2 linked regions of the Nothobranchius furzeri genome follow. The protein of the gene in region 2 purifies or fractionates together with the protein of the main gene of each other region. This does not show direct contact. Links are inferred from orthologs where the notes say so. Each region holds a gene or a part of one and is shown on either strand. Other genes may lie near its edges.

Region 1 (4,262 bases), on a different chromosome or scaffold from region 2:
ACTTGTACAGTGCTGTGAAGGAAAGGGATTGCTACTGAACAGAATAAAAAGAAATTGTTTTATTTTAACAAATATGTTGTAATAAGTCAGGATGTTAGGGACAACTGAAGTTTTCCCATTTAAAGCAGCTGATCAGTCATGATTAGGGTTGCCAACCGTCCCTTGAAAAACGGAATCGTCCCGTATTTAGAAACAAAAGTGCACGTCCCGTATTGAACTCAAAAGGGACGCACTTTGTCCCGTAATATAGTATGGATCAAAATTAGTCTGTAGTCTATTACCGGAATTAACGCTTTGTTTGAAAGCCAGCCCTTCGCCTGCTCTGTGACTAATGAACTGACCGCATGCTTACACACGAATATGACGATAAGATTACCGCTTATTTCATTGGTCGAGGAACGGTCGCTTGGGGAGAAGATACCGGAAGAAAACAGACGACAGCAAACAGCACGGCCAACCGGGAAACTAACGCCGACACTGCTGTACAAGTCTCGGACGACAGTACCCCTCCGAGAAAGAAGAAAAAAGGCTTCAAAAATACAGGGAGGAATGGGAAAAGGAAAATTCCTGGCTGGAAAAACTGCGCGAGAACACCTATAAAGCGCACTGCACCGTGTACCGGCGCAGTTTTTCCAAAGGGCATGGTGGACTCACTGACCTCAAGCAACATGCGTCTAGTAGTAGCCACATGAAAAACATAAAGGACGTGAAATTACGGGGAACCCTCGATCCATTTGTCGTCCACAAGGCCATGGCAGAAGCAGATATGGTAAGTAAACATTGCTTTTTTAAACCCTCTGGTTAAAGTGAAGGTATTTATATGAAGAAAAAAAAACCCACTGTGTTGGGGCTTGTTTACCATTATTTTTATTATTTTTGTTGTCTGTTTCTGTTTTGTCATTAGTTTTTCTATTTTTTTTTTTTAACTTGGGTGTTTAGTTTCGATGTAGCCTTGTCTTGGTTTATATGTTGTTTGGATAATTTTAAACTAAAAGGATGGATAAATACATAATAAATAAAGTGAACTATTGTATTGTATAAAAGCTATACAATGCAATAAATATACAATAAATGTTTTCCATTTATTTACCACTGTAAGTGTTCTATGTGGTGCTTATAACCCAGGTTTACTTCTTATCTCCATTGGCAGGTTAAACATCTCTATGGATGAGCTTTATGACGAGTGTGTCACTGCAGCCAGCCTTCTGGAGCACCTCACCAAAGGACCTCAGGAGAAGGAAAAGTGGCAGTCCAAGGGAACAGCAGAGAAGTGTATAGAAATTCTTCAGGCAGCTGACCTCTCCAACATCCAGCCTGTTGTATCGTTTGTACTCAGCATCCCATCTTCCACTGGATTGGCAGAGAGGATTTTCTCTCTCATGAAGAATAAGTGGACTGATGTGCGGAACAAATGTTCTACTGAAATAATTAGATGTGAGCTCATTGTCACTCTAAATTGTGACATGTCTTGCTCAGAGTTTTACTCTGCAGTACTGAAAGACAAACAACTCCTAAATGCAGCAAGATCTCAAAAGAAATACAAATGGCGAAAATAGTCTGTTTTCACATAATGTAGCATTGAGTTTTTGAGTTCATGAGTTTGGACTTTTTTTTTTTTACTTCAACCATAGGCTACAGTCAAGGCCTTTGAGGCACAAATATGTTTACAGCTTCTCCACAGACTTTCTGTTTGCACTTTTCTAATTGCACTCAATGTGCAGTTACAGCGTTGCTCTTTCTGTTGTTTTCTATTAATTTATACAATTTTAAGTTAAGCAGAACAGAGTTGTTTTAAAGAGAGCTATTTATATTCTAAAAAGTAAAGCATAACAGGCTACCGTTTAAGAAAGAGACCTACTTTTTTTTGTCATTTTGCACAAAAAGTTGAGCATAACAGTTTTCTGTTTAAGAAAAATACCTTTGTTACTTATAATAATTTTGTAATTTCACGCCATAAATAAATGGCTAAATGATCATTTGTTTCCCATGTTTTCATATCACAAAGAATATGCATCTTCTTAAACCAACTTCAAGTCAAATAGTAAAAAAAAAAAATCCTTTCACACCCACACACAAAAAAAGAGCAAAAAAATCACCACGCTGGGAAGGGTGGCCTGGAGCGCCCTGCCCGCGAGGTGTCCCTTATTTATTTTTCAGGGAGTTGGCAACCCTAGTCATGATTAAACACATTTCCAACCTTTTGAGTTTTTAAACAGATATAAAATTCAGTTCTGAGCGCAAACCAAACTCCACACAAAAATAGCATTTTTACCCAGATGTGATGACGTCGCTGAACTTGGTTTTAAACGAAGGTTTAAAATACAATTCTGCGTCTTTTTAAGTGTTCGGCATGCTTATGACATCATCACACGCAGAAATGATACACAATATAATTTAACTTCGCGTTCAATGCGGTGTTAGCCTTTAGCACACTAGCTAGACAGCTAACTTCAAACAACAACCACTCCAACTAACCACATGTGCCAACAAGGCTGTTCAAACTCTGACCTGAAAACACCTCAGATGATAATAAACCTCACCGCAGGAAGCTGCTTCACCCGGACTCACCTAAAGCTAACCGTTCAGTAAACAAGTGTTTTTAAAATGGTCATAAATAAGACAAACGCAGGTCATAAGGGGTAACACAAGATAAAAACCTTAGGTGGTCCGCTGCAGCATGAAAACACTATCTTCTTACCTTTACTTCTTTCCTTTTACTACTGAACACTGCTCCGAGTCCGCATGTTTACCACAACAGGTTACGTTACCGTAAAACCACAAAAACTGTCGTAAACTCACGAGACACTTGTAGTTTTTTAAAGTACCGCGAATCATACGTTTCAGAAAAACAATAAAATTCCTATGAAAACCATGGAAAACAAGCCCAGATGCTCCATCACAGCAAGGACTATTTTGTTACACTGTCTAAGCAAATAAGACTGCAGAACTCATAATTAATTAAGAGTTTTTATTGTGATGTTTCAAAGCAAACTGAACACAGCTGTTGTTTCTCTCTTAACACGTCAGGTGACAAACGGAAGCTCCAGGGACATTTCAGTAAATTTCAGCATGCCTCAAAATGTACTCACAATGTAACAATACATTGATCTACTTTGACACATCCATCATGGCCATCGATCCAAAAAGCAAAAATCAATTGGTAAAGAATGTATGCAAATTCATTTTTATTTTGAAAATTATTCTATTTTGAAGTTCCATTGAGACAAAAATTTCCACCTGTTCCTGCACATCACCAAACCAGGGGCGGTTCTAGACCAAATTTTCCAGGGGGGCCACTGTGGGGCCAGTATTTTTTCATGGGGGCACAAGAAAAAAAATCATATTAAAAGACAATGAACAAGTAAACTATTACGGCGAATGCAGTAATGGCTTACTTGTGAAAGTAAAACTGGCATGTTTTTATGGTACTCAGATAACAATTCTGAATGCTTCACCGCAACATGAGACTTGAGTAAAAAACAATTCTAGTCAATTATTATAGTTTGTGACTTTATTTGAAGATTATATGAACTGTACATATGAAAAATAAACATTCAAACAAATAAAATATCTGCACAATACAATCTGCTTTTTGTAGTCAACACACACACACACACACACACACACACACACACACACACACACACACACACACACACACACACACACACACACACACACACACACACACATAAGCAAAATCACTTCACCAATTGTTTTGATAAACTCACGATTTTCTTTAACCTTTTTACTGAGTTCCTTGTCGAGTATATTAGCCAATGTTGTATTAGCTTTCACAGCCCTCTGGTAGTCCCTCCACGCTATCATTGAATCCTTATGCCTTTCAGACTTTGCGTGTACTGAAAACCCCCCTCCTCTCTCAGTTGCTTTTTTCCAGTTCCTAAATCCACATGGTGAGTCAAACACACTTCCTGCGCTACTTGGTGGGCTAAAATGTCTGCATGCATGACAATAAGTAGAGTCCATAGTAACAGAATATTCAACCCAATTGGATGACTTTCATACCAGCTTGGCTGAAAGCTGCATCTTCTGTCTCCTATTAATGTCACTGGAAATGTTCTCAAATGAGGCTGAGTAGGTGGGTCATCCTTGCACTTGCTGATATCTGAAAGAAAATAAATGTTAGCATGAGGATAAAAGTCATAATTAGTTAACTCTGAGTCTTATTTTATCTATTTATTAAATATAAACAACAGAAATTTTGGTCCAGAGTCAGCATGCCTCAAATGCATTTTACACAC
Region 2 (4,208 bases):
GTTTATTCAATGTTTCTCTTCTTTAATACGCAATAGAAGTTATGCTATTCATGGATAAAAAATCGTGATAAAATCGAAATTGTGATAAAATATTGGAAAAATCGTGAAATTCTATTTTTGCCATATCGCCCAGCCCTAGTCCAGGTAAAACAGAAGACAAGACACTATACCTCTTTTGACCAAAACCCCCAGGTCTTCTGTAATCTTCCTCTTCTTTCCCTGGGTTCTCTCTTTATCTGGAACATTCTTTTTGCTTTGCTGCTTTATCTTCTGATCTTTGACGTGAGAGTGAAATGCACAATGCGTCTTCAGTAATAATTTATCAGAAGGACTCAGAATCTCAGCGATAGTAGCTGGCAGGGAGATGCCAGTGAGGTATGGCATGGGTTGGGCCTGGGACACATCCCTGAGGAGTTCCAGGACATTCGGGTACAGTTTGGCGAGCCCAACCAGGATACCACGGAAAATCACCCTGGTAAGGCACAGAAAAGGAGAACTTCAACAGTTTTTACATTTTAAGATACTGGTTTCAAACTGGTTTCAGTGGTTCTTAAGCCAGTACCTTTAGCAACTTCACATTGGACATAACTCTGTAGGCCTCCACTGACCAGAAACTGCTATCAGTTCGCCAATAAAAAGCCCAAAAAAGATCTAAACATAGAGGTAAAACCAGAGTGAACCTCGGCACAGCCTACACTCATCTGAGGGAGTTAAACGAAGCTACAAAATTTCAGACTGATGGTGACCTGGATTTGTTGCTACTGCACGTGTAAATTTAAAAAATAAACATTTTTTTTTCCCAATGGTGTGGACCTTTTTACTTTGTGGATCATTTGGTATCAGTTGGCTCTTGTTCATCATTAGCGCTAGCTACAGCAGTGTTGTAAACAAGAGCCCCATTCCCACCTGTACCGGGTCGGCCCGGGCCGGGTAGCCCCAGTCGGCCCCAGCCTGGCCCGGTTGATTCCACACATCATTGCCTTAAGCCCATGTGGGCTGCTTCTACCCACCAATCAGAGGCTTGCTCTAATGGAAGGTGTGAATTTGCTGTCAGCAGTGGGCGTGTTGGCCCTGGTCGGCCTGAAGCAGTACCCCTTGGGAAGAGGGCCGAGAATGAGCCTTGGTTGGCCCGGGAAAATTCCAGGCCACCCAGATATGTAAACAACCTACGCTACCCGGCCCGGGCCGACCCGGTACAGGTGGGAATGGGGCTTAATGGACCATTCCCACCTGTACCGGGTCGGCCCGGGCCGGGTAGCGTAGGTTGTTTACATATCTGGGTGGCCTGGTATTTTACCGGGCCAACCAAGGCTCATTCTCAGCCCTCTTCTCTCGAGGGGTTCTGCTTCAGGCCGACCAGGGCTAACACACCCACTGCTGACAGCAAATTCACACCTTCCATTAGAGCAAGCCTCTGATTGGTGGGAAGAATCAGTCCACATGGGCTTAAGACAAGGATGTGTGGAATCAACCGGGCCAGGCTGGGGCCGACCCGGTACAGATGGGAATGGCCCATAATCTAACACGAGGCACTGCTCCGAAAATGATCAGTAAAAATGGCTTTTTCTGGAGTTACATTTGCTCCAGCCTCTATTTTGCAGTTTCTCAAAGTTTCTCTTACCACAAACGACTGAGCATGCTGGTGATCACCAAACACAATAACACAAACTCCTCCAGTTTCATTTGCTGCCTCGTGAGTCTGAAACAAAAATGTGTTAAGGATAAACCCCCCCCCCAGCAATAAAGTGATCAGAAAAAGACTAAACCCTAACTAAGACGCCAGCAGTCAAAAACGACATGACACCGATACTTTTATGATGCACACAGATAACACAATCCTCTAAAACAGGATACATAAAGGCTCTTTTGCAGCGGGTCAAGGTGCAGCTTAGGAGTTTGCTGGCTCCCAGGACTTTGAGGCAGGTCCACTCCAGCGTGGGCTGACTTGGAACATTGCACTCACCGCTCTTGGTGCACAGTGTCCTAAAAATGCACACAAATTAACATTAGTTTGAAAAAAGCTGTGTAAGGTTGCGCTTTAGATATTTTAAAACTTGATTTGACCTATCCTGTTTCATCAACTATAAAGGAAGAGCCTTGGGTTGTTTGCTTCTTACATTTGAATCTTAGTTGGACACAAATTTGCAAGATCCTCAAGAGCTGCATCAAGCTTCATGTTCTTCAGTCTGTTTACACATTGTTCAACCTGTGGGAGAAGTCAGACATGACAAATACATCTAAAGAAGTCCACATCAAAACAGTTATTCTGCAGCTTTGGTGCTGACCTGTTGTAACCCCTTGAACGTCTTGTTGCCTCTCATGCTGTTGTTTAGAACGTACAGCAGCTCGTACAGAACTCTGATTTCCGTCCAAAGAATATTGCTGCGGAGAAGCTTCAGGACTTGGCTGTTTTCCCGCTGCAGGGTTTTGAAAACCTCAGCTAGAAACACACACACACACACACACACACACACACACACACGAGTGTCACCATCGAAGCACACGACGCAAAACCCCTGCGCGCACACGTGAGGGCTGAGATCGGCGCGGTTTTTACGCGTTGAAACGAGCGCGAGACATCAGACAATATAAGTAAAACACGTAATTATTTTAAAGTTAAAAAGCCAAACCTGTTGTTGATGTGAGACGTATGTGGACGCTTGATGTCGCACTGGGAAAGGGAATGTTTACCCTGTTCCATGGTTCCGCAGCCATGCTTTCTGCATTCCATGTACGGAAGCCGATTAGCCAATAGTGTTCGAGTGTGTGACGTCAACATTGGATTTAAAGGTACAGAAACAAGTTTGACACTTGAAATCGAAAATTGAAAATAATAAAACTAATAGATAAATAAGACATTTGCTTATTCTTCTATATTTTTTAAATTGTTACAGAAACAATTTACCATTTTTAAAAATCAAAGTATTTCTAAGACATTTTGAAGTGAAATTCAACATATTTTGAATATTTAAAATCTACAGAAAAAAGGATATTTTTGATAATGTATTTATACACTATGTGGTAAAATTGGAAACATTTATTAAATATTGAATAAATATTTTTAAATAATTTTACAAGTTTGCCATCCCCACGTGCTTGAGCTACTTATTTTTTTTAATGTTGCAATATTTGCAACTCTGCTCTTGCAATGTGCACACATTTAGAAAATGAATTAACGTGAATACTTTGCTTGCATAATAAAGTTTTAACACCCAGTAAAAACTGTACCAACAGATTTGTTGTAATAAAAACAATGTGTTTTATTTAACAAATGCAAGAAAATGAAACAAACTAATAACAAGATGACTCCAGTGATTCACTTAAACTCAATTTTCTTTATCCAGTTGATAACTTTCAGGTTGATCTCATCCATCACAGAATCCTCAGACCTTCCTTTCACTTTCAGTCCATGGCTGCCTCCTGCTATCCATAAAACTTCAGCCTGAGCTTTTATATCTTTCAGTACTCCACTGAAAAGCTCCTAAAAAAGATAAGTAAATACAATGACTGAAATATAATTGTGAAAGTTGAAATGGATAAAATAATACATGATGTCACTAAATTATAGATTTTAGGATATAATGAACATAAAATTAAACAAATAAAAAACTGAATAAGTGAACTTAAAAGGTACCAGGATGAAGGCCCGGTACATATTTCACCCTCACCCTGTCACACATGTTGTCCTCAGTGCCAGACACAAACAGCACATGAAGGCACTCAGGCAGCATCCGGAGATCTTCGCTCCGCTGGTGATGGATATGCCTCTGTCCTGGAGGATGCAGGGGGAAAGAGAGACAGATGACTCCCTGCACTGCTGCTTCCTTCGACTCCTCACTCAGCTGCCTGGCCAGTGCTGCTGCAGCACGACATCCCAATGACCTGCCTGTCAACATACAGAAAAAAATTTTAAAATATATATTTGTTTTATTTTTAATACTCGTTTCTGTTTCATATGTAATTAAGTTTTAGAATATGGCAACTGATCATTTCCTTGGCTTTTACCTCCAACAAACGTGTGTTTTATTGTATACTTCTGATATGATTTCAAGTAGTCCTAGAGCAAAAACACAGCAACGTGTGAATACACACTAGAATTTATTAACATAATTTTATAAAAAATGGAAAACCCTTACCCACACTGCACAATACGCCTTAACTCTATAACTCAGATTTAAGCCTTTACACGTAAAACGAAGGCAGATGAA

What was found.
Region 1: the proteins of nepro (region 2) and rpp25l purify together in Homo sapiens (affinity purification with mass spectrometry; 3 studies listed by BioGRID and IntAct, with this or other methods). This does not show direct contact. The link is inferred for Nothobranchius furzeri from reciprocal best matches to the Homo sapiens genes RMP64 and RPP25L.

Annotation. Positions count from the first base shown.
Region 1 is NC_091745.1:59,630,809-59,635,070, forward strand, and holds the start of rpp25l (ribonuclease P protein subunit p25-like protein), read right to left. Parts: upstream 2,802-4,262; 5' UTR 2,699-2,801; intron 2,682-2,698; exon of another isoform or gene 2,658-2,681; intron 1-2,657. UniProt on the Homo sapiens protein: May be a component of ribonuclease P or MRP.
Region 2 is NC_091754.1:12,629,403-12,633,610, reverse strand, and holds the start of nepro (nucleolus and neural progenitor protein), read right to left. Parts: upstream 2,804-4,208; 5' UTR 2,716-2,803; coding exon 2,631-2,715; intron 2,441-2,630; coding exon 2,286-2,440; intron 2,207-2,285; coding exon 2,118-2,206; intron 1,984-2,117; coding exon 1,855-1,983; intron 1,700-1,854; coding exon 1,622-1,699; intron 473-1,621; coding exon 171-472; intron 1-170. Other genes in the region: tex30 (testis-expressed protein 30), read right to left, coding at 3,317-3,481, 3,669-3,886, 4,006-4,057, 4,137-4,208. UniProt on the Homo sapiens protein: May play a role in cortex development as part of the Notch signaling pathway. Downstream of Notch may repress the expression of proneural genes and inhibit neuronal differentiation thereby maintaining neural progenitors.